Tamandua tetradactyla: one gene and its partners. The protein of the gene in region 3 interacts with the protein of the main gene of each other region in a biochemical or structural test. Links are inferred from orthologs where the notes say so. Each region holds a gene or a part of one and is shown on either strand. Other genes may lie near its edges.

What was found.
Region 1: the proteins of DLG4 (region 3) and CYSLTR2 interact in a biophysical measurement, tested with the Homo sapiens proteins (2 studies listed by IntAct, with this or other methods). The link is inferred for Tamandua tetradactyla from reciprocal best matches to the Homo sapiens genes DLG4 and CYSLTR2.
Region 2: the proteins of DLG4 (region 3) and CTNND2 interact in a test that uses a peptide from one of them, tested with the Homo sapiens proteins (2 studies listed by IntAct, with this or other methods). The link is inferred for Tamandua tetradactyla from reciprocal best matches to the Homo sapiens genes DLG4 and CTNND2.

What each region holds. Positions count from the first base shown.
Region 1 is NC_135330.1:109,567,273-109,577,566, reverse strand, and holds the start of CYSLTR2 (cysteinyl leukotriene receptor 2), read left to right. Parts: upstream 1-4,633; 5' UTR 4,634-5,570; intron 5,571-8,698; exon of another isoform or gene 8,699-8,904; 5' UTR 8,905-8,984; intron 8,985-10,294. UniProt on the Homo sapiens protein: Receptor for cysteinyl leukotrienes. The response is mediated via a G-protein that activates a phosphatidylinositol-calcium second messenger system.
Region 2 is NC_135335.1:60,552,616-60,562,909, reverse strand, and holds the start of CTNND2 (catenin delta-2), read left to right. Parts: upstream 1-3,511; 5' UTR 3,512-3,614; coding exon 3,615-3,651; intron 3,652-10,294. UniProt on the Homo sapiens protein: Has a critical role in neuronal development, particularly in the formation and/or maintenance of dendritic spines and synapses. Involved in the regulation of Wnt signaling.
Region 3 is NC_135332.1:61,083,380-61,093,673, forward strand, and holds the start of DLG4 (disks large homolog 4), read right to left. Parts: upstream 4,864-10,294; 5' UTR 4,529-4,863; coding exon 4,499-4,528; intron 1-4,498. Other genes in the region: ACADVL (very long-chain specific acyl-CoA dehydrogenase, mitochondrial), read left to right, coding at 7,226-7,287, 7,359-7,434, 7,660-7,722, 7,806-7,878, 7,971-8,035, 8,113-8,283, 8,694-8,838, 9,078-9,207 and 3 more. UniProt on the Homo sapiens protein: Postsynaptic scaffolding protein that plays a critical role in synaptogenesis and synaptic plasticity by providing a platform for the postsynaptic clustering of crucial synaptic proteins.

The DNA of each region.
Region 1 (10,294 bases), on a different chromosome or scaffold from region 3:
TGCAGTGTGAAATGTGTGCAACTGAGAAAGCCATGAATCAAAAAACTGCAGACTGAGAGAACTGGTAATTGTCCCCATCCCTATTCCTGCACCCCCACAATTCAAAAACTCTGACTCCATGCTACCTAGACAGAACAGTCATCACTCTCATCCTTCCCCTTGCATATAAATCCTACCCATTTTTTATTCCAACCTATTTTCAATAAATCTATGTCATAGTCTGCGTTTCCCCAAACCTTCTCCAAACCTTGCTTAGAAGGTAGTTGTGCTTTGGAGCTGTATGTATCCTAGATTAACATGTTCTTAAATTCAATCCATTTCTGTGAATGTTCATTCATTGTAAATAGGACCTTTTGATGAGGTTACTTCAGTTAAGATGTGGCTCACCTCAATCAGGATGGGTCTTAATTCGATTACTGGAGTCCTTATAAAGTGGAATGATTCAGACAAAGAGAGAGAAAGCCATGGGAAGCAAAAAGCTGAAGGTCAATGGAATTCAGAAGAGAAATGGGAGGCCAGGAGAGGCCCCATGTGCATTGCCATGTGACAGAGGAGCCAAGGGCCAAGGATCACTGGTATGAGTCCCAGAACTCCAGTCTTTGGAAAGAAAACATTGCCTAGTTTATGCCTTGATTTGGACTTCTCCTAGTCTCAAAACTGTGAACCATTAAATTCTCATGGCTTAAGCCAATCCATTGCACAGTGTTTGATTGAGCATCCAAGGAAACTAAAACAGTAATCAATGCTAATGGTGTCTAAGCTAATCCGTTTCTTTTGTGGAACTTTCACATTCTACTCAGATCATAATTTGCATGTATGTGTCTTATCCCAACAACTAGTTTTTCAGCTCCTTGCTAGTAGGCTCTGTTTGTAATTCATCTTTTTATCTACCCCTTCAAACTTCATACAATGTACTCCCTGTTGTTAGGCCCTGTGCTAAACACTTCATGTCATCAACTCAACTTTCAGAACAACTCCGCCATGTGGCGACATTATCATTATTGTCATTTCACAGTGAGCAAGAAGGCTCAGAGAATATAAGTCATTTGCACACATACACAGAGCTGGGAATCAGAGCCAGGCTGGCCCTAGGCTCAGGTCCACAGAACCTCCTAGCAGAGTATTCTGGAGTTTCTACTGGGTTCTCTCTGCTGGGGATTCTTTACCAGGGGCACCTGCTTCTCTCCCAGACCTGGTTCATGTCCCTCATTGCCTCTGGCAAGTCTTTTCTGCTACCTTTCCTTCTGGAAGAGCTGCCAGGTCATCAGTGTGGGGTGGAAGTCCACCTTCTGCTCCACAGGCAACTGGTGAACCCTAGTGGGGGCTGAAGCTAATCGAGGAAGGGACTCCTTTTTGTAATTCTAATTCTTAGAAGGCATTGCCTTATTGCAGCTTATATACATTCATCTGTAATACACACAGAGGCATCTGGGGTGTTAGCTGGGTGCTAGAACTGACCGTTTCTTTCTCCAGAGCCTTGCCTGCAGAGAGGCCTTTTGCCTCTCTCTCTCTCTTAAGTAATGAACCTCTTGAAGGTAGGACTCATGCCCAGTTGTCCTTGGATCCAGCAAGAGGACTGGTACAACTCTACTTAATGCCTATTGATAGAAGCATAGAAGGCTAATGGATAGAAGGAAGAATGAAGGAAAGGAGGAACATAGATACATTTCGTAAGGTTGACAAGATTCATTCATTCCTCTGTGCAATCAGCATAAGTTTATTGAGAAACCCACAGTATGAGCCATCTCAGAGTAGACAATGGGAAAACAAAGACACCTAAGGCATTCTGCTTCTGGCTTAAAAGGAGAAACTCATTTATTCTTTCCTACCTTTTAGTACAGAGCGGAATTACTTCAAGCTGATTCCTTTACATACCCCATGAGATTTCCTGGGGTCTCATCTTCCCAGGCTCCTAATTATTTAACATGTTCAGAACAGAGAGAGTCTTTTTATATACACGAGGGCCTTGAATTTATAAATACAAACGTGCTTGGAGTGTGGGAAATTCCACTTTAAGAACGACTTCTCGGCTCTGTGTTTCCCATCTGTTTGCTATCCTGCAGCGCTTTGCCTACCTACCTCCTTTTACCCAACCAGAACAGAACCCAGACCTGTCTCCCCAGCACAGCTCCCTTCTTTCCCCAGCCTCACCTCCTCCTTACCAGAAGGTAGTGCTAATTGTCCCCTGGGCTTCCCTCAATGTGAACCTAAAGGCTTGTCTGTGGAAAGCAAAGTGAATTGTCTGGTCTGGACAGCTCCTCCTGGCTTTGGTGCTTGGGATCTCCCTAATGACTTGAATGAAATAATGCGATTTCCTGGGCATTGTGGAATTCTGAAGTCTCCTGCTATTAAAGCTACTGCAAAGAATTCTTGAGAAACTAAATGCAAAAAGCAATTCGTGTACTTGTCTTCTTGGGCCATTAGCTTGTGTCATTTCTCTTGTGCATGCCCATTCTAAGAGGCTCCCGCTGCCTCCATGTTCGGGGCTGTTAAGATGGAGGGAAGTGTGATGCTCTAAGGAAACAGTGATGCCAGATGAATGTGAACATCATGCAGATGCTAAGCCCTGCGATGGGGAAACCCATCGTTCCTGTTCATAAAGAAACGTTTTCTAATAGGGGTAAGATGAATTTGGAGTGTCAAGGGCATTTGTGGTTTGTATTCCTAACATTTGCTAATGGTTGGAAATTGCATAGTTACTTAGCATCTTTGAAATTTAGAGGAAACTTAGCTTCTTATCATTTAGATGTCATCAAATGTATCTTGCAATGGTTGCATGAGGTATGGGTTTAGAAGTGCCAGCATGGGCCTGGCAGATGGGAGGTGCCCAGCAGCTGACTGTCATGATATTCGAAAGTGTTGGACACGAGCTCCTCATAGAGCCCCTCACAGAGCTGAGAAGCTCGTTGGAGGAGCCCATCCCTCAGGTCACGAAGGCTTTGGTATTATAGATGTCAGAGTCCAAGCAGGAACACAGAACCCATTCTGAATGTTTAAAGCAGGAAGTGTTTGCACGGATGCTGAAAGAGCTGAGAGACCAACAGGAGAAAGTGGGATGCCCAGAGACTAGCAGAACACAAGCCATGATGAGACCCAGGCTGGAGGGACAGCTGACAGAGCTGGGGCACCAGAGGAGACACAACTGTCTCTCAGAAATGTTCCCTGAAAAGCTGATGAGAAAAAAATACCTGAACTTCTTTCCTCCTTCCCTCATCATCCCACCTCTTGTCAGTTCTTTCTGACCAAATCTAGCCAGAAGCTGGGCCCATAGGGAAATCTAAGCTATGCAGCCTTTAGGGGTGAAACCCCACATGGCCCCAAAGAAAGCAGAATCGAAGTAAAGCAAGGAACATATCTCAGGACCAGCAGGCTCAGGCCTTGGGCCAGCCTGGTGGTCTTTAGAACTTCAGGGATTGAGGAATCAGAGGAAGCAGTCTGGTTCAGGGTCTTCAACTTGTGTTATATTGTTTCCAACCAATCTCCCCTCCACCTGTCCTGTCCCCCACCTCCCCCACATCTCTCTTTCTACATGTTCCTGAGGTTTGGTGCTCAAGCTGAGTCATTCTTTGTGTCTACAGATTGGAAAGGAGGAGGGGCAGCAGCCCTGCTGGGGCCATCACTTCCCTCTGTTGTTGCTACTACTGTTTAAATACCTGAGTGCATGCACAGGGAGGTTGGAGAGGGGATGGATTCTGCTTACCCATGGCTTCTGGGACAAAAAGCCTGGTGGGCTCTCCTGGGGATCCCAGGATGCTATGGCTCTGAGCCTGCCCTTGGGGTATGGCCTTAAAGGAGGTTGCTCTCTGGGACCACATCCTTTAGAGCTTAAAATTCTGGTCTCAAACTCAGACTTACACCAGTAAAATAGAACACTCTTTAGGATTAATTTTTGTAGCTCATTTGCCATTTTTCTCACGAGTCTCTCCTTCACCAGCTGTGTTAAACTTCATTTATATAAACTCCTTTCATACATTCTATTATTGAAACTAACCTAGAGCCATCCATAGCAATATATCATTCTAAATTTGGGAAAAGCATCGTGCATCAAGAGATTAAAAAAAATAATAATAACATCAAAGTAGTTTACTCCCCCAACTACGGTGCATCTCCTGATGGAATATAGTTCAATCATTAAATATTTATGCCGATATGGGAAAATGTTTGTGTTACAGTGTAAATGGGAAAAGCACAGGATGGAAACTTATGTCAGAAAAAGGAAGTAACAAATGAGCCAACAATGGCATAGAAAAATGTCAAGAAGAGAAAACACTAAAATGTTGTCTTTGGGGATGGCACTATGATTCTTATACAAAGAGACTAAGTTTACCCCTTGATCTTAGGGACTGGTCTTATCTTTAAATCATCTTCCCTTCTCTTTCCCCAGAGTCTTTTGACACTTAACATACAGGAAGCTCATGGAAGTGTCCCCAAGGCATCAAATTGCTTCCAAGGCCACACAACCAGCCATGGCTGAGGCTGGACCTGATTCTCTTGAGTCTCTATTCAGTTTTCTTCCCTGGCCACCTGCCACCTTGAGTAGGTGACACCGAGTCAGGAGTGAAGACGCCCCTCACCTGCCCAGACTGAAGGGCAGCCTTGAGGTCACAATGGACAGGACTCATGACAGCACCATTGAGGCACTGGAAGAAATCAGAAGGGAGCAATGAGGAATTACAGATCTGAAAGTAACCTGGTCCATCAGATTCCCTTCTGTATGCTGCATTTCTCTGGAACTCTAATTCTGTGGACTTTTTCCCGTGTGATACTTCCAAGTCAAATTAGATAAATTGTTGATTCATTTCTGTGCTCCCTCAGGATTATCTTCTTTTTAACATCGTTGACTCTTTGCCTATCTCCTCAAAAGCCATAACATTTTCCTTCCATCCTGGCAAATCTGATGAGATTTCATTGCTTTATATAATGTCTCAGTTGTACAAAGAAAATGCTTCTAATGGCTACATTTCAGTGAAGTTATTTCCTATGGACTGTTCTGGAAATAAAAGAAAGTCTTAAAGCGATTTTTCCTTTCCCCAATGTTCACAGATTTAGAAGTAGAAAAATAAAGAGATTTTTTCCTCAGCATCCTTTTAACACTCTTGAAACTAATGTCATGTTCTTCTGGACAACCTGATGTGCGAGAGTTAGTTATGGGGATGTGGAGTTGAATATTTTTTTCATTTTGTTTATTTTAATGAAACGGACATTAGTCTTTGGGAATTGGAGAGGAATGAAAGCCTCCTGCGACTTATTGTGAAATGAAATTTCTTTCAAGCTCTTTTGTCCAAAGATGAGATTGGTAAGGTCATATGCATACAGTATGGATTTTCAATTGGGTTAATCAACTATTAGAACCTCAGAGCAGCAGCCTTGCCCCCAGCCTCATCTCCACAGCTCCATGAAGAAGCAGCACTGGAGAACTATTCCCCTCACTTCCTGCTCTGTAATGTGAAGATGGGATCACAGCACCGCCTTTGCTGTGGTCATTGTCAGGAAGCTATGGGGCATGCATGGAATGGTTCCAAGAGCTGTCTTCTTCATCCTCACAGCAGCAGTGGACCAGAGCTTGCAAGGTAGATCTACTTTTTATTTACCCCAAATTTCAAAGTTGTTGGCACTTGTGGGAGCTACAGGTATGGCTCTTGGCAACAGGCCAGGGTGAGGAATGGGACAAGTTGCGAGCATCAGAGATTTCCAGGGTTGGAGGAGACCTCAGATGAGGGTGTTGGCAGAGTCACTGGGTCTGTAACCTTTGGGCCCATAGAGGACAAAAAGTTAGGCGAAGGGGCAGGATGGTCAGGTGTTATGGGTTGTTGGCGAGATTTTCCAGACACTACCCTGGTTCTAGGCCTAATGAGACATTAACTAGCTGTGTCCCCTTGACTATGCATCATGAAGGAACTGGAACTAGATAATTTTTAAGGATTATTCCAGTCTCAGGAAACAAATTTCAAACAAACAAAGCAAAATAAATAAATACATACATGCATACATAAACTTCCTGTTTTATTTTTGAGGAAGCATTTGCTTATTTCTTTCCTACACAAATAAACTTACTGTTTACTATTCAGTGTTCCTCCCAGGCCCTAAAATAGTGACTTTTATTTTCAGAAATAAGCAAATAGTTCAGTTTGGCTGGGGCATAGGAAGAAAGCAAAATGGCAACTAATATGAAATGTGACCAGGCCATACATGCAGACCATCTCTCAGATTTGGGCATGAGGAGCCACATGCGTGGCCCATTTTTTAGAGAAACACTTTGCTGGGCTTCCTGCAGTCCTGACCCACTGCCAGAGGTTTGGGAGTCTGGGGCTAAGAGGGGTGTCCCCTTCCCCCCAACGTCCCTTCCTATACTGTGCTCTGGATACCTGAGTCTTCCCACATCAAGCGTTCTCAAGGGCTGTGTGGCCTCTCCCTTAGGTGTCAGAGCCTAGGATTTGGATAGCTCCGAATTCTAGGGGTAGCCAAAGGTTCTATTTACAGGGGTGGCGTTCTGCATGTAAGGGTTGAAATGTCCATGTGCCTAAGTATGAGGTAGTTCATAGTGCCTAAAGGAGCCAGGGGTTGGAAGAAAATAGGCGCAGTCTGCGGGCTTTGCCAGGGGCTGAAGTCAGCGTTTCGGATGTGGTATGGTCCAGCCAGAACTCTAAGAAGTCTGAGAATTCTAGCCAAATATATTGCATGGAGTCCAATAATTTGCAGAGAAATATATCATATTATGTGAAGCAGTGATAGTGATGAGCACTATATAGCAAAGTAAAGCAAAGTAGGGGGGTAGAGTGCATGTGTGCATGTGCATGCGTGCGTGCGTGCGTGTGTGTGTGTCTGTCTGTGTAAGCTCTTTTAGGAAGGGAGGTCAGGGAAGTTCCCTCTGAGGTGGCAACATTTAAGCGGAGACCTGAATGAAGTGAGGAAATAAATGCAAAAGGGCATCTCAGCAGAGGGGCCCAGTGTAGCAGAAAGAAGCTTGCCTGGCTAGCAGGAGTGATAGATGAGTTGTATACATAGGAGGAGACCAACTGAGTCTTTGTAGACCATGATAAGGCTTCTTATTCTGAGAATGATGGGAAGTCACTGTAGGGATTTGAGCAGAGGAGCCACATAATCTGATTTTTTTCATTAAAACTTGACAGTAGAGCAGCCAGGGTGGAAACAGAAAGACAGTTGGGATGTTACTGCAGTATTCTGTTCCAAAAATGAAAAGAGTTTGAATGGAGATTGGTTCTACCATTTGCAGGTAGAACAAAAGAGATTTGTTTGATGGCATGTGGCTAGTGGGAGAAAGAGTAGTTAGGGATTGTATTAGCTAGGGTTCTCTAGAGAAACAGAATCAGCAGGAGATATCTATAAGATTTATAAAAGTGTCTCACACAACTGCAGGGAATGTAAAAAAAGATCTGTAGGGTGGGCTGTGAGCTGGCAGCTCCAATGAAGTTCCTCAGCGAACTCTCAGGAGAGGCTGGCTGGCTGAAGCAGAAAGAATGATTGCCTCTTCTGCATTCTCCTTAAAAGCCTTCCAGTGATTAGATTAAGTATCACTCATTGCAGGAGACATTCCCACAGCATCTGCAATCGGCTGTGGATGCAGCCAACATGCTTTTGATTTAAGTCCATGAAATGTCATCACAGCAACAGACAGGCCAGCGCTTGCCCAACCAGATGACTGGGCACCACCAACTGGCCAAGTTGACACACGAACCTGACCATGACAGTCCACCCATTGTCAGCTTGGCAGCCACACACATCACCTTAAACTATACTTAGTCTCTAAATAGAAAACAGTAACAGACACAATTTTTCCTCGCCTAACAATGTTCACCTGTCCTGTGTGTAGAAGGGCATTAAATGCATTAAAGGGGTAGAAGATGGGGTTTTGGAAAGAGAGGCAGAGAGAAGCAATATGAAGGGCAGAAGAAGGATGATGCAAGTCAGGGAAATAAGGAAGAGAAAGTTTCAAGAAAGTGGTCACGGTTAACCGTGCAGTGAAGAAATGAAAGAAGATGACCACTGTGGTAGTTTGAAGCTATATGTATCCCAGAAACATATGTTCTTACACTGAATCCATTTCTGTGGGTGTGAACCTATTGTAAGTAGGACCTTTTGATGAGGTTCCTTCAGTTAAGGTGTGACCCACCTCTATCAGGATGGGTCTTAATCCTGTTACTGGAGTCCTTTATAAGAGAATGAAATTCAGACAGAAAGAAAGCCACAAGAAGCAAGAAGCTACATAATGGAACTCTGAAGAGAAAGGAGAGAGGAGGAGATGCCACTATGTACCTAGCCATGCGATAAAGGAGCCAAATATCAGGGGCCATCAGCCCCAGAATGCCATAGTCTTCAGGGAGAAAGCATCTCCGTGATGATGCCTTTCTTTTACCAAAGATGATGAACTTTCTTTTAGCATCAAAGCTGTAAATTAATAAATTCCTATTGTTTATGTGTACACATTTCATGGTACCCAGAAAAGAGCTTTCAAATGAGCAGTGAAGTCGTCATTGATGGCTTTTGACAGTATTTTCCACTGTGTGCTAGTTCAAAAGTTGAAAAGCAAGTGGATGGTAGAAGTGTTCTGAGAACTCAAAAGTTCTATCCATATAAGGTGGCATTGATGTTATTTTGTTATGGAAATAGAAACCACTTATGAGAATTAGATGCCACTTTTAAAACCCCATTCTAGCACATCCAGAACCCATCGATCTTTTGTGTAAGGCACCTATAAAAACAATAGTCAGAGCGGTGGGGGATAATCCAGGTTTTGGAGATAGTCTCAGACTTCCTCAAGAAGGAAACCAGCACTACATCCTGCCAAGAACAGATGCTGTGCTGACCAAAGTTCCTTATTTTCATGCTATTGGCTGACACTGCTGATAAAATATAGTTTGTTGTTTCCCTTTTCTTTTAAATAAGCAAGCTGGATTACTTGGAGGAGAGGAGGCAGGAGAGATAGAGGAGACAGAAACAAGGCAGCTAAAAGAAGAAACCCTCAGGTGAGCATGTTTATCTTTGTCTTGGTAATTTATTGTTGAGTAATGTGCCTTGCTTGTCATAGTTAGAAGAGCAATTTTTGAAGACTAAAGTTCACTTTGTTCTACTGTAAATTTATTTTTTCTTAGCATGTACATGGTAATTTAAAAATATTGGGAAGTACAAAAAAGTAAAAAAGAATAATAAACAGAGAAAACTTCAATTGATATTGTTGGATATTTCTTTCCATTTTTTTTGTGTTTGTGTGTATAATATCAGTTTGACTTTTATACTTGGGTTCAGACAATATGTACATATGTGTATGTTTTTGTCCATTACAGCATAAGTATCTTCCATATTGCTATGAAGTTTTCATAAACGTAATTTAAAATTGCTGCTTAATCGTGCATTGAGATTTACTACACTTTGCCCAACCACTTAGCTGTTTTTCATCACATAGACTCTTCCTTATTTTTCATAAACTGTATATAAGATATACATATTTTTTTTCCATTTGGGATCTTGTTTTATGGGGAGAGGATGTTCAGTTCAAGAATGTAGATATCAGTGGTTTTTCTCAGAGGCACCACGAAAATGAAAGAGTGTGTGAGAGCCGGTGCTTAAAATATGCTTATTACCCCTTTGGGACCTCAACTCTGCCTACACATTCAGCCAGAATTACTTTATTCTAAAGAGGTTAAAAAATTACCCCCAGAATAATTAAAATTAAATTTTGGGGGATGAGTCCGGCATTTAGTTTAGCTTTGTGTTTTCCAGAAACTAATGGACAGCCAGCGCATAACAGGTGACCCAAATCATTTGAAATATTTCCTGTTTCTGACACATACCTGAAAGGAGGTAAAATTTCAGGCAACTCATCCAAACCTCTCTTTCAATCCCTACTTATGTAAATGCCAAGAGAAATTTCTGGGAAATGTTAAACTCTAGAAATTTCTCTCATCCATCTCAACCACAAAAGCTCTTGAGGTGAGAATCTGCTTGGGAGTTTTAATTTACTAGTGCTTTCAGGAGATGTTGTTGTTTCCAAGGCTTTGGTGGCTAGATGTTAGAGAGGTTGACTTTCCAGAATGTTCTAAATATATCAAAACTAAGCCCATCTTCTGCAAGGATCACACAAGGAGCATTTGAAGATCCCTGTGATCAATTTAAAGAGCTATAGGATTGTAGTTAGAGGCAGGAGGTGGCTTTCCCTGGCTTTCCAGGAGCATCAGCGACATGGCATTCACTTTCTCTCTACCCTATGTCACTATAAGGAAAGCAGAGTTTATACAAAAGCTGGGTTCTTGGTTCTCCGATGAGGAACTGAGAACAG
Region 2 (10,294 bases), on a different chromosome or scaffold from region 3:
GCAAAAGTATTTAGTTTGGATCTTGACTGATAAAGCAACTAATTCAAATTGGCTAACTACTTTGAAACGTTCCATAAAACAGAGTAATGTGTTCCACTAACACCTAAACAATTGCCATATCTTTAATGATTAAAAGCAAATAGTGAAATAGTGCTTATTAGCCCCCAATATATACATATATCTCTCTATATATTATGTATAATTATTCTCACACTACTGTATACTATTCCAGATAATTTAAATTTTAAAAAGGTTTTATTATTCTCCACATTTAAATGCTGACCAGCAACAATAATTACTTGCATAACAAATTTCAGAAATTTTCATTTACTTATCAATGGATAATTCACTCTAAAAATTACAAGAATATTGTTTTCTATTTGAACATTAACAGCAAGATACAGAACTATATTTAAACAGTTTTGACTTAAACAAGGACATCACTCTCCTAAAACTGCCATACTTTGGATTACAAAATGAAACATGAACTTATATAAATATTTTGAAGTATTAGATTTTATTCCTAAAAATTAAGTATAACTTCCATATACAATTACAGTTGCTTCAGATTTTGAAAAGTGATTTGAAAAATCATGAGGTGAGGCATTTAGCATTTAGATGCTATTTCTGTATCACATAACCTATTAATAAATGAACAGAAAAGTATTTTTCATTTAGCATTGAGTACTACAATTTGAGGAGAATAAGCTAATAACTTTCTATCCTTACAGTGAATTAGGTAATTCAGGGTATTTCTCTCTTCTGAAACCAACAGAAGCAGGAGGCAAAAGATGGCAGCAGTGAGTCGTTCCAAAATCTAACGTTACACATTTTACTTTTTTTCAATATTATTTAATTGTGAATTTAATATTATCTTAAGTTACAAATTATTTTAGGAAAATAGGACTCATAAATGTTCCAGTGAGGCCTGGCACACAGCAAATTAAATCGCAGTAGCCCACGGCATCATTGCCACCTCAAATATCCACCTTCCCCTACCCCCAAAAGAGTCTGAAGGCACTAACTATGGGTCCTTCCCACAGCTCATGTTTAGTAAATAGGATTTGCCATTGCTCATATCAAAAAGGAATAAAAAAACTTTTAGGACATTATTTTCTTAACCTACATAGGCATTAAAGACATTTTCTGAGGATAGTAATATCTTTACATCTACTTTTAATTTTAACCCCAAAATCAAATGACCTTCCCTCAAAGAGCAACTCTTCTCCAACTTTTTGAGTTAAAAGATGCAAAACTGTCCAAAGTCAAAGTGGAAATGAAGAGCATCTTTTAAAATATAATGTGTCCTAATGCACACAGTGCTGCTAATTGGTCTTGTACCAAGTTCTCAACATAATTGAACAGCCTTTCTGAGACCTAAAAGGAAATATACAGTTCAACATGTGCTGACAAATGGCACTGCAGTGTCATAGGACGAATAAGGAAGAAGGGTGATTTTAATATCCAACTGGCTTTAAGACCTGCAGCCAAGCTGGAGAACTACTTTTGGAGGTGAGGTCAAGTTTGTATGGGCACTTACAGCCCACCCCCCCAACCCCAGCCTTCCCCAGGAGATTAAAAGTGAACATTTGCACAGCTGTCAAGAGTTCATGCTTAATCTACTGCTTTGTGCATTTAATTAGACCTATTTAGCCCACCTAAAACTTTACTCTTTAAATTATATTTTAACTTACTCCAAACCACAATAGAAAATAGTCCAGAATTATTGTGCTTTTTAAAATTGCTGAATAATCTCTCTGACACAAAATAGAAGCACATTGTTACTGAAAATCATAGGCCCCCAAATCCCTTATATTAGAATTTCCTGTTAATCTGTCTTAGAAACAGGCTCTGGGAAGGAGCAGGATGGGGGGTGGGGGAGAAGATCACAGCCTCAGACCATTTGGGATCTACAGCCAGAGAAGATGAGCTGGCGGCTTGATTAGGAGCATTTGCCCTGGCCCCTGGACAAGCCGAGCTCAGCCTGCCAACGTCTTGTAAATGCAGCAGGGGTGAGCTGTGTCATGACTCTTGAAACAGAGGAACACGCGGTGAAGGCTCAGAGGGCTTGGTTGACGCATGCCAAGGGTCTTGTTTTCCAACAAGACTCTCAATAGGGTGATTCTACTTGTCTGGTTTTCACAGTAAAGGCACACGGAAAAGTCCTCATGGGGTAAATGGGCTGGAAAACCATCAGTTGACATGGAAAAACAATCTGAAAATGAAGAACGCAATGCTGGATCATTATGGGGACCAACAGGTATTTCCATTTTAACCTGGGAAATGGGTCAAAAGAGGAGGAAGAGGAAGTCACCAAGTCCTGAAGAAGACCAAGAAAAAGAAGGAAATGGAGCTCAGGAGAATGAGGGGAACTTATTACAATCTATTCAAGTTCCAGATGGGACAAGGGTCACTGCTCAGGAATTAGATATATATTCCAGATTCAGTCAGAATGGTTTTGCTTAAGAAAGTCTCCCCCTCCGAAAAACATATGCTTAACTTTTAAAAAACATTTAAAATATATATTTAGTGTCTTAAAAATATCTTAAAATTATGGAGACCCTGGGAACACTGGGCAGGCACCCTGGACAGCCTTCTCAGAGAGATGTGTAGCCTTCTTTGCTCTAGAACCACAGTATTTGAAAGAACCTCCACTTCCAGCCTCCAGAGTGCAAGTCCAGACTGCTTCCCCACCCGAAGCTATTCTAGAACCCTTTCCACCCCTGCCCTTTTGTTTGCAGGCTGACACCGGCCCCGCCGGCATAAACTGACAGCGGCTTGCAAGCGAACGAAGGAACCGGCCCTTTGAAGGGTTCCATCCCTTCCCCGGATCGCTTCCAGCTTTCGCGTGCCTCCCCAGCATCCACTCAGGTCTGGTCCAGGGTGTGCGTTCCCCAGGATGCAGGGCCCTCTCCCAACCCTGGGCCTCCTCCCTTCTCTCCTGCAGCTGCTGCTGCTGTTGCGAAAACCAGAAGTGGAATGCGCACGCCGAAGCGCCGCGCTCTCGCGGCGACACTGGGCATGCTCGGCACCCAGGGCAGGTTTCTGCGGCGGGGCGGACGCTGCCTCAGTAGCCGGGCGCACGAGGCGGCCGCCGAGGCATAGGTGGAGGCTGAGGAGGAGCCTCGCCCTCGGCGGCAGCGGCGGCGGCGGCAGCCGCGCAGGTGGCGGGGGCCGCGGGGCGCACTGGGCGAGCGCACAGCGCCGGGCGCCCGCGGCGGCCCCAGGCTCGCGCCCGCGGCGGCAGCTGGCCGAGCCGAGCGCCGGGCGCGGCGGCGACAGCGGCAGCGGCGGCTGCTCTCCAGCCCGGCCGGCGGCGCCCGGAGCCCGCGAAGCCCGCGGAGCCCTCGGAGCGCGCGGGAGCCGGGCAGGGGGCGCTGCGCTCGGCGCGCTCGGAGGGGCCGGGGCCGGGCGCCGCGCCCTCGCGTCGGGTGCCGCCTCTCGCCCGCGGCGCTCGCCCCTGCTGCCCGCCGGCTGCGCCTGTCCCGCGGCTACGCTCAGACAACAAAAGCGGAGGATGCTGCAGTTGGGCAAGGTCAGGACCTTGCCCTGAAGCCGGGCGGCGGCGCGCTCGCCTTTCCCCGGACTGAGGAGCTGTCCCTGGCGGCGGGTGCATGTTCGCCAGGAAGCAGTCGGGCGCCGCGCCGTTGGGTGAGTTGCCTTTGCTGGGCTGGCGGGGCCAGGCGTATCCTCCTCCTGGGCGTCGTCGTCTTGGTCGTCGTCGTTCTCCCCGCCGCCCGGGGGGGGGGGGGGGGTTGGTTCGCGGCTCCGGGCCGGCTGGCGGCGGCGACGGCTGCTGCGCGGTCCTGCCTGCCAGGGGAGAGGACCGCGATCGCGCCCGGTCCGCTCTCGGAAGGCGGCTGTGGTCGGGAACGGGGTCCAGGGTTAGTGCCTTTCTCGGAGCGGTTACCAAGTGGCTTCTCTGCGTGCTCTCCCTCCCTGCCCACCTAGCTCCCCCGGAGGAGGCGTATATAGGGCAACACCAACAAGGCTCCAGAACCTACCCGTTGCATTCATGACGTCCCTAATCTACGGGAGAAGACGGGGTGGGGGTGGGGAGGACTTCCCTCCAGGCTTTCGCCCTTATGCTCAATGTCATTACGATGTTTGGCTAGAACAAAATGGAAATACTTAGTCATATGCGTCTGGGGCCGTTCCTTCAGCTTCCCGCTGCTTGCCAGACCGTGAGCCCCTTTGGTCTATATTTAGCGGTTTCCGAGGAAGCATTTTCAGCTGGATTCACAGGTTTCGGGGGCATCTGCGTCCTGACAATAGATAGCCAGGCTCTGGAAAGCGCCGCCTGAATCCAGGTTTGGAAAGCCGTGCATGTGTACAGGAGGTAGGCGATGCGATGTTTGGGTGATCGGTAATTAATGGCTGAAAGCAGAGCTGCTTCGCTTTTCTCCCGACCTTCCTCTTATTCGGGCGTGTAATGTGTTTGCACGGTTTGCTGCTCGGCGGGTTCCAGCCCTCCGTTCTGAATTGTCACTACTGAGGTGGTGTAGCCTTCCAGGTCTGTGTGGTGGGCAAACAGGGTTTCGGGTGTTTGCATGGGTTACCGCAAAGAAGAGTTACTTCCAAGATGCCTGAAGTTGCGTTTCATTGTAAATATGGGTATATAGGAGGATGCAGAGAGAAAGAGGGACAGTTTCAGGTTTTAAGGTGTTTTTTTTTCCCTCCCTTCTTCGTGTGCATCAGTTGAAGTGATCTGGTTTGCTTTGGCTCTGGATATTATGAAAATGCGTGGCTAATGCTCGCATGCAAGTATGTTGGTTGGGATAAAGGATGTCAGTGGCAGGCCTGCCGCACATAGATTTTCACTTTTAGTGACTATGGGACTAATAATTAAGGGGCTTGACATTTTCCGCAGTGACTTCCATGAAAGTAGGGAGATGTTGGAAACTATCTGGGAGTTATCCTGTTGTGCATCTTCCCATCGGCAACCCAACCCAGTCCATTTCTTTGCTGTTAGTGATTCACCTGCATGTTTAAAAGGCTTCAGAGCCGCGCCACTTCTGAAAATCCCATGGCGGAGTGTTTGACATGACTCATATCAAATTACAGGGATGAACCTGTGCATAATTTTGGGTGTTTGTTCTATGGGAAGTATTACAAATAGAGGCGGCATCCTCCTCCTCTGTGCTTTAATCTGCTGTAAAATATCTTTGTGTGTGTGTGGCTAACAGATCTTTCCACCTCCAAGTCCATTGTTAATGTTGTTGACAAAAACGTTAAGTGGCATCATTACTAGTCTGTGAATTATCAGGTTTTCAGGTCTTGCAAGATTACATTCAGAGTTATGTGTTGAAATTTGGGAGGCATAATTATATTGAGAACAAGTCAGCATTGCAGAATGACAGGCAAGGTCTATGAGGCTTGCATTTTTTGGAGCAGTTAACTATCCAGTGTGATTAGTTTGACTAGTATTACTTTAGGTTCACCTTATCAGAGAACTTTCCAAGAGCACTTTGAGTACACTGTTGTGCTTGATGCATTGTTCTTTCACAAAACATCTTTTTACAAAGAGGCCTTGGAGGAAGTAGACGTGCATTTCTCACTTTCCTTTTTGATTTTTTTTTTTTGGGGGGGGGTCTGGTGTTTCAGTTTGAACTGATGCTTGAGAAACTGGTCCCTAGTACTGTGTGCCCAAGTGTGCATCAAGAGAGTAGCTCTGGGCATAAGGGAAAAAACTGCATGATTTGTCTGTGTGGGTTTTATATTATACTGTGGATTACAAAAGATAGTATCTGATTAAATGGCAGTTGTAGGGAGTACTTGGGGTGGTTACTCCAAAAAATTTGTTATTATCTTGCAGAAAGGAGTTATTTAATTTGGTGTATGTTTGTGTAATTATAGAACCTACTCATTTTAGATGTCACTAATATTTTCACTGTAATAAAAGTCATGTATTGTCAAATGGCAGTATTTCCACCAACTTCACATCTTTCATAAGAGAATACAAGCTGTTTTTCCTCCCCATGAAAAAATTCATCATAAGAATAAAATGATAGTTAATGGGTATTAGTTGAACAATGTAGTTTATAGCTTGTTAGATGATTTCTAAGCATAACATCACTTTCACAATGGCCTCTACAATTAAAAAAAACGACAGTAAAGTATTCTCAAACATAACATTAATTTTGGCAACTAAGTGAAGATGCTGTGCCTTTTCTGAAAATTTTATAGAACATATTATTTTCTGGTGTGCCTTACCAAAGTCCTCTTTCTTATGGCTTGTGTTTATGTGGAACTGAAGAATTTTTGCAGAGTGATTTCATCAGGTGGTTCTTTTGCACAAATACAGTAAAGTTTTGTTTAAAATAATATGATTTCATTTGGTAGTCCATAACATTAGGTACACTTTATATGGATTAATAAAGCTAGTTGTAACAAGGCAGGTAAACTAAATAAAGCACAGTTACAACACCTCGAACTTCTAAAAGTATATTTTTCCCTTTATGTTTACTGACAGACCTGGAAACATCCGTCTTTGGTTGTTTCCCCATGTGAACATTATTTTCACTTTCGTAGTAGAGAATTGATGATTCTGTTTCAGTCTTCCTGGTGTAATCTGTTTCAAATGATTCCATATGGTTAGGAAGGCTGACACTTGAATACCGTATTTGAGACAATGAGTACATATCATGAGTAGACTCCTGGGAAGGCAACTGTGGCTCAGTGGCAGAGTTCTTACTTACCATACCAGAGACCTGGGTTCATTTCCCAGTGTCTGCCGCTGTTAAATAAATTAATAATAATAATAATAAAGGGTAGACTGCCAGTTATTTTTAAATACAGTTCTGCAGACTGAGGTGTGGTACGGTGGGTCTTTGCTGGCTGAGTTACAGGTCAGAAATGAATTCTTCATTTGACTCCCACCATAGATTTTAGAATCCATATTCCAAAGGTATTCTGAGGGCCATGGCACTTTGATGCCTGTGTGATCACTGTTATATGGTTGCATGTGGAAAGTTAATTTGAGTGGGAACAGTTCATGACACCTGTTGCTAGCTTCAAGTCTATCTGATTATATGCCAAAGTAACAGGTTTTTATATTAACATAAAATATTAAACATGTCATAGATAAATAGTTCCTATCATATTGACTGCCAATTCAGGCTACTGATGAATAAACTGCCAGTTTGGGTGTAATGACTCCAATTATATTCATAAACAGTACTTCTAACACCGGAAACTCACTGCGATATTTTATCATCCTGTGCTTTTGCTCCGTTAATAATATCCGCACTCCAAAATGTGTAGTTATGACACCCACCACTTGATCACATACCACTTCAGTGTAATTTCAAGCTCCGTATTGTGGTTAATTGATGTGTAGGAAATGTCTAGGCTATATTAGGATTCTGAAATTATGCTCTGTATCAATTAGTTTTTGACAAATTGGAAATAATGACCAAATAGGTGAAACAATGCTTCTTAAAAGCTTTCCATCTTAGACAAATATTCACCTGTGTTTCTCAGTGAAAAAGAGTCCTGAAAAGTGATCTGTAAAGTGAATTACATATATAGAAACTCATTATTCATCAATTGCCCATTCATCTTCAGAAATATATTTCTACAGAAAAGTTGGGCTCTGCCCTATATGAGTGACCTTAGAATGGAATGTTCTTTAGATTCTCCTTCTGGTGGGTGCAAAGATGTGGAAAGAGCACTGGCTTTGGATGGATCCCAGCTGTGTCACCTCTTGCCTGTGTGATCCTCAGCGTGTTTTAACAGTTTCTTTATCTGTTTAATAGGTATTATAAGGCAGAATGTCTCAACAGACTGTTTCAAGGATCAGTGGTTGTTTATACAGATGCAAGAGATACATATATACCGATTAGATGGATACTTATGATTCGTATTTATATTATTAAATTGATTATATAGGCTACTTTCCTCCTTAACAAAGACTATTAAATAGATACACTGTCTTTGGCCCTGCTGTAATGTTATTTTGTTCTACAGATTTGTATATAATATAGGCCAAATTTTCTACTCTGAAACATACTAATCGTTTTCTTAAAATGTAAAATAGTGAAGCTAAAAGAGAAGCAATTTTTTTCTCCTAACACAATATTTAAAAAAAGATTCTAATCTAATTGTCGGAAATTGTGAAAGTTTGATATTCTGTATTCGTTATATTATTCACTTGACTATAATGAAATTTTCTACATAGACTAAGATTGTACAAAGAATATAGTCAGGTTAATGAACATCCCTTTCTGAGAAGTCAAATATTAAACAAAGTTCAAAGTCATGGAGCATGAATCCTTTCATAGTGTCATGACAAAGCAGAAAAAGAAACCTTAAACAGTGAATTTTTTTTATGTAAGGAGACGACCCATCTATCCCTCTCAATCAAAATCTAGTCCTGGGTGGGAAAAGAGGCTAAAAAAAAAGTGTGTCCATTGGTACCTTTTGTGAAAGTAAATGGTCATTTTCGCTTTCATTTCACTCTTAATATTTTTGGTGGAGACACAAAAGTGCAAACGCCTCTGGGTTGATTTATGCTCAGTTCCTGCTGGAGGATGAATATAATCGTTACAATAATGTCCATAGCACTTTAATGTATTTTAGAATTTGTTATAGAATGTGACCTGTATAACAAGAGACTAATTTGTCTTGAGTTAGAAAAACATTTTGACAATAAATGCGGTTATTTATATTCAAATTTATGTGTTGTTGTGGGAACTGCCAATTATAAGTTACCAGAGTAAAATGCACGTTATAATAAAAGACCTGCCTGTTTTTTCGATCAAAGTAAGAGGCTTATTAGTCAATACTTTTTCATTGGTTAAATAAATAAGTGAGTCAAAATTGCAACATGTTTGAATAATACTTGAGTAAATAGATTGGTTATTTTATGGCGCTTGGTGTTAGGGAAAAGTTAATTTTATCATTAAAAATACAATAAATTCGTTCTTCTGCATAAGAAAAGGCTGGAGTTTTCTCAAGAACTTTTTTGCTTAGTGATAACCACAAGTGTCCTTAGAAAATAGATTCAACAGATGTATATTAAGAAAAGTGCCATTTATATGCATATTTCAATACAGTTTACCAGGGCTTTTTGGTTCAGGGTATTCTTCATGATCCTGTAGTGCTAATTGTATTGTAGCTTCTCATTTACATGAGCAAAACATAACTCACAGAAGGGTATTTTTACCTTAAAATTATAAAATTTGCTAAGATATGGATTGTTGGAGTCTTTAAGGAACTCACTACACATCAGTCCCTCTTCCCCTCGGTACAGATAGGTAGGGAAATTGGTGGGGTGGGCAGGGAGGGAGAAAGAGAAAGGAATGGCTATCTTGGATGAAAATATCAGAGTATCAGTTTTGTTTGGCCACAGCTTGTTGAGACAGTCAAGTGCCATCCAGGCCCTTGGCCTACCCTTGCCACCCCCCCCCCCCCCACCACCACCACAGGGACAGAGCCACTGGAGTCCAACCCCTTGTTCTCTGCAGGCAGGAAGAAGGTGGGAGCAGCAGGTTCATCTTGTGTTTGCTTCTGGGGCAGAGCAATGAGGGGCTGGAGGGAGGCCAGCAGTGTTATGCTCATTAAGTTCCCTTCACTGGAAGAAAACATCCGAGTGAGAAAGAGCAGTTCCGCCACTGACGTGGTTTAGGAAGCATTCTGATTAAGAATTCTAGATAGAGTAGCTTTCGCTACTCTATCTAGAATTTCGCAGTCCTTAGCTTAGTAGTTGAATTCTTTAAGTATTTTATGGCATTTTGACACTGTATCAGGAACCATCAAGGGAGAGTCTAATGCCCTGGCTGATTTATGGAGAGTATGGTCCATGAAGTCCAACTGATTTATGGATTGCCAACTTTAAAATAACTCACTCTCAGTGTTTCTTCCCTGCTCCCCATATTTGTGTTTGACTGCTCATGATTGGATGGCCTTCTCAAATGGTGAGAATTGGGCATAAAAAGGACAGTGTCATAATCCACTTTCCTAAACCATATATAAATGTTGATCCCTGCTGGCTGTTATCAATAGAACTTTCTACCTTGGTGTAGATAATTAGAGTCAGGCTGTTGTTTAATGATTTACTTTTTAATAGGAGCCATAATTGATACAGTCAAGAAAGATAAAAGCAATTGAATTACTGAACAGATAATTATGCTTTATTTGACTCCGAACATGATGACTCAACCTATATGTGCTAATTTCTTAAAATAAATGTTGTTTTTCTTTATCATCTATCATATATACTTTCAGAGTAAAATGGCAGTCATTACCTTTAGTGGCACAAAATAATTTAATGTCCAGGAAGAACAACATTTGT
Region 3 (10,294 bases):
GAGGCTGCGGCCGGAGGGGGGGGGGAGCGGCGCCTGCGCAGTGCGGGAGAGCGTCACGATGAGAGAGAGAAAGAGAGGGGTGAGGGGAGACCCTCCTAGCCACCAACTTCCCTGTTCCAGCTGTTTCTCAGTGGACTTCGCATCCCACAGTATACGCCTATTCCAATCCCTCTACCAATGGAGACTTTCATAAAATTTACCAATTCATTGCTCTCTTTCTTAAGGACCCCTTATTCCATGTAATCTTCCATCCCCCAAATCACCAGGCCCTTAAGAACCATTCAAAAACCTCACTGGCCCTCTCCTCACTGCTGGACTCCCAGAAGACAGTGAAGGAAGCAGGACTTTTCTCTCACTTCCTAAGAACCCCCAAGGAATCTAAACTGCTTCTCCCACCAGCCCCTCCCCCCAAACTTCCCAAAGATTGTTAAAGGGGCCAGCATGGCCTCAAATTCAAAAACATCTGTCTCCCTGCAATCCAGCCCCACCGGACAGAACAATGCTTCAAGATGTTAAGGGGCCCAGAGCCTTATGTCCTCAAATTTATAGATCCCTTAAATCATCCCTTTCTAAATAACATCTATCCCCCAATTCACTAACAGAGACCTTGAAATTAGAACAAGTATTTCCCTTGCTCTAATGTTGACATCCAAAGGAGTCCTCAAATTTGTCTGAGGACAGTCCAAATTTCTGAATTTAATGATTTTCTTATATACCAGTCCCCAACACCATCACACTCTCATTTCAGGGAATCCTTAATCTACTTTAAAGCTGACCCTGCAAATTAAATTGCAATCTCTTCAATTTATTCCCAAACCCTTAAATTAAAGGATATTTCTTTGTTCCTTCTCTTTACCTTCCAAGTTCAGATCACTCCCTTTCCTGCCTGCCTTCCCTCATTCTCATCACTGCTTCCATGACTTTGAATTCCTGATTTGCAGATGCTCCCAAACATATCTTCCCCAATCCAGCCTCAAAAAATACCCAAGTAAGACCTGGACTACAAATCACAGCGACCTTCAAATCTTCCACAACACCCCAACTCGGGTCTCTTCAGGGGCTTCCATGTTCTCCTAAACAACTGAACTTGAAAGCCTCTCTTCCAAATATTCTCCCATTGAACGCCACATTTCCAGCTCTTAAAACCCTGGGAGTGGTCTCCTCAAATTGGCTGTCTAAAATGCCCACACATAGCAGAGAGGACGACTTCCCCAGAATCTCATCCATGCGATGATTAGCATCTGTTCGATGTGCCCCCAAGATGACCCCCAATGCCCTAGTTTCATATCGGGATTGGCTTCTCCAGGGCAGTCAGAACCCAGAACCGAAGGGGCCGGACTCGAAATTCTTCCAGAAGAGAAAAATGCCCTGGTTCTCCACCAGCGGGCGCTATGGCCCATTAGGACCCTCCCCCACTCCTCATTTCCTTTTTCCCTCCATTTTCCGTTTCCCCGTTGCCTGGCAACTCAGCAATCGAGGACTTCGTTGTCGCTTAGCAACCGTCTCCCTGGAACACAGAGCTGAGGTGGGAGGGGTGCTCTGATGAAATCTGAACAGGCCTCCATCTTAGGAAAATTGAGACGTCAGATCTCCCAGATCCCGGATTCTCCTTTCCAAAGACCCCTACGCCCCCACAGTGACTTAGACACAGGCCTTCACACCCTGTCTCCCTGGGTGACACATGGGATCCACTCCACGCCCCTCCCCTGGTCATTCCCGCCCCATTTCGGTCAGGTAACCCAGCCCCCAGGCACCGCCCCTTTCCAAGGACTGTTTCCCCGCCTCCCTCGACAGCGTACGCCGGACCCCTCCCACTTGCCTACAGGAGACCACGCCTCCGTCCACTTCCCGCCCATCCGCTCTGGGGCCTCGCCCACACGGTCCCTCCGCCACGCCTCTGTCGGCCAATGAATGAGGCCGTTTGCCAAACTGCCCCGCCCCCGGCTTCTTCGCTTTGCCCAATAAGGACCACCCCGAGGGTTTAACCTCTTCGCATCCGGGGCTCTGGCCAAATACCCCTGGTCTTTTCCCCACTTTTCCCCCTCCCCCATTTGTTCTGCCCCACCCTCCGCCAGCCTCGTCCAGCCCTCAAGCCAGCCACGCAACTTCAGTCGTCGCCGGTTACCATGGCAACGGCGGCAGCAGCGCGGGGAGAAGGGGGCAGGGACGGGGGCGGAGTGGGAGAAAGAGATGCCGAGATCGAAATGCCGGTAGAAATAGAGGCAAGGAGTTAGACCCAGTGAAAGCTGTACAGGCAGAGTTTGCACAAAACATGGGCCTGGCACATAGTAGGCATCCAATATAGGTTCCCTAAATTACTGCGGCAGGAGCCTAAATATAGGCAAGGAAAGATGGAGGTCTCTCAGACAATGCTGGGAGCTCAACGACCGCAAGCAGCCTGAGCGCTCCTTACCCCACCCAGCATTTTAAGGGGGGGGCAGGAGCTGTGTGCCCCCTGCTGGCTCCCTCTGGGCTACCCTCTGCTGCCCTGGATAGAGGCTGAACCACAACTCCCAAAAGCTCCGCGAGCAGCAATCTTCTAATATTGAGGGAGCTTCTGTCTCAGTGCCTTATGGGAGTTGGAGTCCTCGCTATGGCGAGGCAGACAAGTTTTCCGGCCAAGGAATGTGGCAAGACCGGGTCTTCACGTCTCTGTAAGACCCCAAATGCAGGACCCTCTCTGCATAAGCCTTCTCCTGGGGATACCCAACCTCGCGCTCCATCAGGGAAGTAGGAATCTGTAGGGGGATGAATAAGCCCCCCTGAGGATAGCTGCCAGAGCAGGCAAGCCCCTCACCCTCACTCGTTTGTGAGTTTAAGTGTTGGAAGCAGAGCCCACAGATTCCAATGGGTTTCCTGTACACAGGGAACCAGAGCCAGAGAGCCTAAGGCCAAGGGCAGGAAACAGGAGGAGCAGAGGATCAGACAGACATCAAAGGAGGCTGGGCCAGAGCAACTGAGGAACAACGATCCACTAAAACTACCCAGAGGAGGAGGGAAGCAGCCTGATATTTGGGGGTGGCCCAGGCAGGTAGGCCACAGAATAAAGGACAAGGAAGTAACCCTGGGAGGGGTTAGGGGTTCCAGGACCAAAGGGCCTCAACCCCCTCAATCTGTTCCATCCATGCTCACACGTGCACAACGCATGTGTACACACATGTGTGAGTTTGTGGCAGGGAACATGTGTGTCCTCAGCTTCCTCCCCTGAGAAGCTGCAGTTCCCACTAAATATAACCCCCTCCCCAGCCTGTGACTCACCCGGACCCCGCCCCCCCCGGCCCCCACTTCCTGTCCCACCCCCCAGCCCCCAGCTGCCTGCCATCCGCCCAAGCTTCCCTCCACACTCCAGGCATCCAGCTCTCCAGTCCCAGAGTCTCCCAGCAAAGACCCAGGTATTCTGCATCCCACCAGAAGCTGGCTTGAGTTCCCATCCAAGATTTCCTGCCTGTCCCAGGCTCCAATCACAGGGACAACAGATTCTGGCTGCTGCCAGCCCTGCCTTCCTCCTCCTCCTTTTCACCCCGGAAACCTAGGTCATAAATCTTAGGGACCCTTACATCCAGGTGTCCTCCCCCCACCCCACCTGGGTCCCAAGCTTCAGGAGTAGCAGAAGCCTCCTCCTCCATCTGCTCTTCTCCCCTTTCAGGGGTGGATGCAGTGTGGGAGGAGATGGGGAGATTGGGTACCTGCCTGGGCCACCCCCAAATTTCACACTGTCTACCTGGTCTCCCTCCTCAAATCCCTTCTCTCGAAATCTCTCGCCTCCTCAGGAGCTGGCAACCTCAGCTGCTGCAACCTGCCACCTCCCATGGGGGTACCCCAAATCCTAGCCTCACCTAGTCCACCCTCAGGTGTTGGGCACCAGCCCTCTGACAACTCTCAACTATTCCCATACCATATGATTGAACCCCCAGATTAGCAGTTCCCTCAAATTGAGGATGTACCCCCCAAAAAATATATTTACCACAAGATGCTTGTTCTATAGCCTGAAGGCCCACCCCTTCCCTGCCAGCTGACACCCCCAAACCAGTCAGGCACTCACAATCAATAACCTTCTACCCCCACACACAAGAACCCCTCAAATTGGACAAGGAACCTGGAAACCAGTTTGGACCCCAGGAGGGAAGAAGACAACCACCTCCACTTAGCCCACCTTCCAACATAACAAGCAGGACTACCATGTGAGCCAGGCTTCTCCTTCAATAAGTCTCCCTCAAACATAGCTGGTGAACCCCCAAACCCACAAGAGCCCCCAAACCATAGAACACCCCCAAATTTCAATTCCTCTACAGGTTCAAAGGGATCACTCCAGGGGGCACCTGTGGCCAAACCCAGCCTTTTCTGAGATGTGCACCCCAAAACTAAATGATGACCCCTAAATACATTTATTTCTGATGCTCGCACTCCAGAGCCCCCAGTCCCAGATTAGGCCTGCCTGCCCCCCCACGAACTCATACCCACCCCACCCGCGTTGATGGCCCCCCTCCATCACGCTTACCTTGGTTGTCACTATACAGAGACAGTCCATGTTGGGGGGCCTGGCCGCGGCGGCGGGTAAGGGGCTCTGACTTCATCGGAGTTTCGTTCCTCCCCTCCTCAGGTTCTCACCCCTCCCCCCTCCGCACCCCACTTTTGCAGGGGGGGCCAGGATGGGGGGAGGGGTGAGAGGGGAAGGAGAGGGTTGGAAAAGGGAAGAGGAGGGGAGCGTGGGAGGGAGGGAAAGGGGGCCCTAAAAGGGGGACCCCAATGAAGGGGAGGGGGCTTGGGGAGCACACCCCGATTTTCAGGAGGGGCAGGGGCACCGGGGGCTGGCAGCCCCGGGGTTCGGGAGCTGGGGCATGAGATGGGATGGGGGAGGGGAACTGGATTTGGGGGAGCCCTGGGGGTGGGGGGGTCTTGCCTAAAGGCCAGGGGCTAAGGGCCGTGGCGGGGGAGTGGGGTGGGGGGGTTGGAGGCGGCAGCGGCTGAGGGAGCCGTGGAGCCGAGGAGGGAAGGGGAGAGAGGAGGAGAGAGGAAGCAGGGGGAGGGAGGGAGGGAGCGAGGAGCGAGATTGTGGGGGGGTGCCTTGGTAGAGTTAACTCCTTCAATGCCGGCAGGAACCCGGATAATGGGAAGGGAGATGGAAGCAGAAGCGGAGAGGCCCTGAGGCAAACATGGAGACTTGGGGCCACCAGCGCGGCAGCAAAGACAATGAAGGCGGATTTCATTTCTTAGGGGAGGAAGCACCCATGGTTGGGGCTGGGAGCACCCATGATGGAATAAATCATGGAGGGAGGCCACGGTGGGGGGTAGGGTGTGAGGGAGGGGCTGGCAGGAGGGAATCCCTGGGGAACTGCTTCTAACTTGGGGTTCCCAGAAGGAAGCCTGAAAAGTAATTATGTCCTGGACTCTCCTGTCTGAAATTGGGGCAGGCAGAGGAAAGGGAGAAGGACAGGCAAGAGCACATTCTCAGGAGTCCCCAAGCCCCTAAGCCCCTGACTCAGGGTTCCCTTATTGGGACCCCCACCCCCACCCCATCTTCAGTTAAATATTAATCCTTTCCTGACCCCTCTAATCCTGCCAGCTCCCTCTGCAAGACAGGCCACTGCCCCCTGCTGCTGCCCCCTTACCTGACTCTCTGAGATGGAGGCCTCATAATAGTCCAGGATGTCTGTCACAGGAACAGAGCTGAGTTACATCCCCCACCTGGCCTCTGCCTCTCCTGTCACCACCGCTGTCTAGAAGGCCAGAGCCCCTCCAGCAGGCTCCAGGGTCCCAACCAGCCTTTTCCACAACTAACCCCTAGAAAATTGGGGTTACTCACCCAGCAAGGCCTGGAAGAGGTCACTGTGCAGCACCGCAAGGAGTGGGGGTGCCCACCGCAATAGTGGGGGGGCCAGGAGCCACAGAGCTGATCTGGGGGCTAGAGAAATGGAGGTGAGGGAAGAATCGGGCCAGGAAGAGGTAAGCCGGAGACACTTACAGGAACACTACCCTTTGCCTTTTTACCCCAGACCCTGCAGAAAGATTCAGGACAAGAATCTGGGACTCTCAGCACCATGTTCCCCCACCTCTGCTCCCAGGCCACCCCTCCAAAGGAGCTCCGTCTTTCACCTCTTGGTCTCTCAGACATCTCTCCCTTCTCTCATTTTAATCTCCCTAATCCCCCAGGATTAAATTGAGCTGCCTTCTCTCCACCCAGTTTTAACTGTTGGGGAAAGGAGACATCTCTGACTGACTTGCCCTGCTGCTCCATCCTTCCCAGATCCCACGGCCACCCCCTTTCTCCACATTCCCTGGCCTCTTTTCCCAAATTTAGCTGCTCTCCTGTGGGGCTTGGAGAGAGAATTTCCCTACACAGAGGTTCCTGCAGCACAAAGGTAAGGAAGTTGAGCTCAGCTCTATCCTCCTGGGCCCTTTCCCCAATGGAACTGCAGAAGTGGAATATAAATTACCTGAGACTTTTTGACCCAGGGCTGGGTCAGCACACAGGGAAGTATGGGAGAGAGAGGGGATGAGTATTCCTATAGCTCTTTTCAGGCAGAAAAATCCATCTGCCCAGAGGTCTAGCCTGGACCCAATGATCCTGGAAGGAGCAGAGGGCAAAAAGAGATGGATGACCAGGAAGGCCTTAGAGGCCATAGGGGGAGGCAGTGAACACAGGGTGCTGGAGTGCCATCTATTGTGAAATTTTCGGTGCTTCGAGTGTCACTTCCTACGTCTCAAGAGGATAGTTTGAGACCCCACCCAACCATTCCCTTCCCTTTGGTTGTGGTTGAAATTGATGGATTTCTTTCGGGGCTGAAAAGTCATCTTTCCATGTGTCTGCCTCTAGAGTTCACCTTACACTTCTGTCTTTCAATTTCTCCCTTCTAATGCTACGTGGGAAGTCCTCCCTTCAGTCTACCTTCAATCCCTCTGGCTGCAGTCGCCTCAGCTCCTCCCTCTTCCGTCCCATCCTATCTCATCATCCCTCCCGAGGAGGGCTAGCCTCTCATTTGGACAGGCTGGATAAGGGAGTTTGAAGGGACAAATGACGCTTGGAGATCACTCCAGGTCAACCAGGATGCAGGGCCTGGGGGCGCTCCGGGACTACGACTCCCGGCATGCCCGGCGCCGGGAAGCCCCGCCCGCCCGCCTCCCGGTGCATTGTGGAGGATGCGTCAAGTGGAAGGGACCCGGCTGCGGGAGGCGGGGCGAAAGCGTTAGGTCAGCTCCAGGCAGCCGGGGCCTCAGCAGCGCGGAGATGCAGGGGGCAAGGATAGCCCCAAGCGTGGGGCGGCAGCTACTCCTGTTAGGAGGCGGCAGGTATGTGTATGACAGCAGGGGACGGGGAGCGGGGGGGCCCAGGGGCGGGCCTGAACTCCCATTTCCCTCAGCTCGCGGTGCAGCGCGCTCCTGGGGCAGCCCAAACCGGGCCCTGCCCTCCGACCCTACGCCAGTGGAGCCACCCAGGTGAGAGACGACGGACGTGGGAGAGAGGTGTGGGAGTCGGGATTCGCCTCGGGGCCCCACGGTCAGTAGGGCTCACCCTTTATGCCCCAGACACCTGTTCTGCAGGCTGGCACCGGAAGTAGGGGAAAGGGCAGGAGATGGAACTAGGGGAAAGGTGACCGGATCTGCCCTCCTTGACACACCGGAAGCCCCTTCCCCGACCTCGCTAACCATTCCTTTTCCCAGGCGGTTCTGGATAAGTCAGATTCCCTTCCTGAGGTACCCACCAAAGAGAAACAACTCCACACGGTATGTGTTCCAAGGCCCGTGGGAACTGAGTTGGGAAAGAGCCGTCCCACACAATTTCCTGAAACTCTCTTTTCCCTGAACAGGAATCTAAGTCCTTTGCTGTGGGGATGTTTAAGGGCCATCTCACCACGGACCAAGTGTTCCCATACCCATCTGGTAAGGGAATGGCTATTCAGAGGTGGGGAGGGGTAGGGCATTCCCCTGACAGCCCTGTCTTACCTGCATTTCCTCTTCCTGCCCTTACACAGTGCTCACTGAGGAGCAGACACAGTTTCTCAAGGAGCTTGTGGGGCCAGTGTCCCGCTTCTTCCAAGTAAGGAATGACTGAAGCTGAGGGATGGAGGGCTTAGACCCTAGGGTGTTGGGGGGCAGGGCTAAGGAATTTAAAAGGAGTCTGGATGTGGGATCCGGAGACTTCTTTCCCAGGAGGTGAATGATCCAGCCAAGAATGACGCTCTGGAGCAGGTGGAGGAGACTACTTTGCAGGGCCTTAAGGAGCTGGGGGCCTTTGGTCTGCAAGTGCCCAGTGAGTTGGGCGGTGTGGGCCTCTGCAATACCCAGGTGAGGAGAGCCCCCGAGTCACTTTCCAAACCACTCCAGCTTGGCAGTCAGCCCCTTCTTCACCTCTAGGGTTCATTCCTGACCAGACTACTGCCCCGGGAGCCTGTGGGATGCTGACTCTCCCCACCGTGCACACACATCCTCAAACTTAACACACTGACTACAGGTGCCCTTGCCTGCAGCCACAGACCCTACCCTGGTTTCCGAGTTTAAGTGAATCTGTCAGGTGGGACCACTTGGCAAAAGGAGAGCAGGAAGTCCCCCTCCCACCAAGACTGGGGTGGACACAGTGCCCTCTGTTGTGCCCTTCTCACAGTTGACCTTGCTCTCTGCATTGGCTCTGTGGGGATGGCCCAGGTTGGGCCCCACCCCAGCCCCACACCTGCCTACCCTCCCACCCACCCCCACAGTACGCGCGCCTAGTGGAGATTGTGGGAATGCATGACCTCGGCGTGGGCATCACTCTGGGGGCCCATCAGAGCATCGGTTTCAAAGGCATCCTGCTCTTTGGCACAAAGGCCCAGAAAGAAAAATACCTCCCCAAACTGGCATCTGGTGAGGCAGTCCTGGGAGACCCGGGGGCTTGGGGGTGTCCTGGGTTTGGCACCAGTTAGGCCGGCGGGTGCTGAGATTACTGGCAAAGCTGGGGACCTAAGTTGCAGGAGAGTCTGGGGTAACGAAAGGAAACTGAATATTGCCCAAGGCATTAAGGGAGACCAGTAGGAGGGGCTGGGGGACACTGAGGGGACTTCACTACCCATGATGACCCTCAGTAAATCTCTCTCCCCAACTAGGGGAGACTATCGCTGCTTTCTGCCTCACTGAGCCCTCAAGTGGATCAGATGCTGCCTCCATCCGAACCTCAGCTGTGCCAAGCCCCTGTGGAAAATACTATACCCTCAATGGAAGCAAGATTTGGATCAGGCAATCTTCCTCCCATTTCTCTCCTCTCCACCCCTCCCTGATTTCAGACCCCATAGCTCTCAATTAGCCTCACCCTGACTGCCCTCCTCATCCTTCCACAGCAACGGGGGTCTAGCCGAAATCTTCACCGTTTTTGCCAAAACACCAATTACAGATGCATCCACAGGGACCACAAAAGAGAAGATCACAGCTTTTGTGGTGGAGAGGAGCTTTGGGGGCATTACCCAGTGAGTGGATTTGGGAAGAGGTAGGGCGTGGAGGGAGGGTCCTGCTGCACTCCAGGGCTGATGACTGTTGTGTCACCCTGGGGATGTGTGCAGAAACCAAAGCAGCTTCCCTGTGGGACAAATACGTATGTAGTTGACCAAAAGCCTTGGCTCCTGGCAACCAGGGGGCCAAACACATGATGGCAGAATGCAGCCAAGCTCTGCAGCCCTTTGGGCATGTGCAGAACTATCGTTTATACCCTCTTACAGCGTGGGAACTGCGGGTCCTCCTAGGTTCAGAAGGAATGAGGGGGGCAGTTTTTTCCCTGGTGGCAATTTATGGGACACACCCCTGCTTTCTGGCCCTGACTTGTCACAGCGGGCCCCCTGAAAAGAAGATGGGCATCAAGGCCTCAAACACGGCAGAGGTGTACTTTGATGGCGTCCGGGTGCCGGCAGAGAATGTGCTGGGTGAGGTGGGGGGCGGCTTCAAGGTCGCCATGCACATTCTCAACAATGGAAGGTTTGGCATGGCCGCAGCTCTCGCCGGCACCATGAAGGGCATCATTGCCAAGGCGGTGAGTATGCCTGCCATCCCTCATCAGGCTGAGTCTGAGTCACAAGATCACCCTCCCTGTCTTTCCCTCCCCCACAGGCTGCCCTTGACCTGCTAGCTTAGTTCTCGGTCCTGTGTGGAATGACCCTTGGCTATGGCCAAAGCCCAGCCCCCCAGCCCCAGCTTAGGTCTTCTCCTGGGGAGACTGCAGAACCCCTCCTGGGATATATGCATCCTCTTTCAGGTGGATCATGCTACTAATCGGACCCAATTTGGGGAGAAAATTCACAACTTTGGCCTGATCCAAGAGAAGTTGGCCCGCATG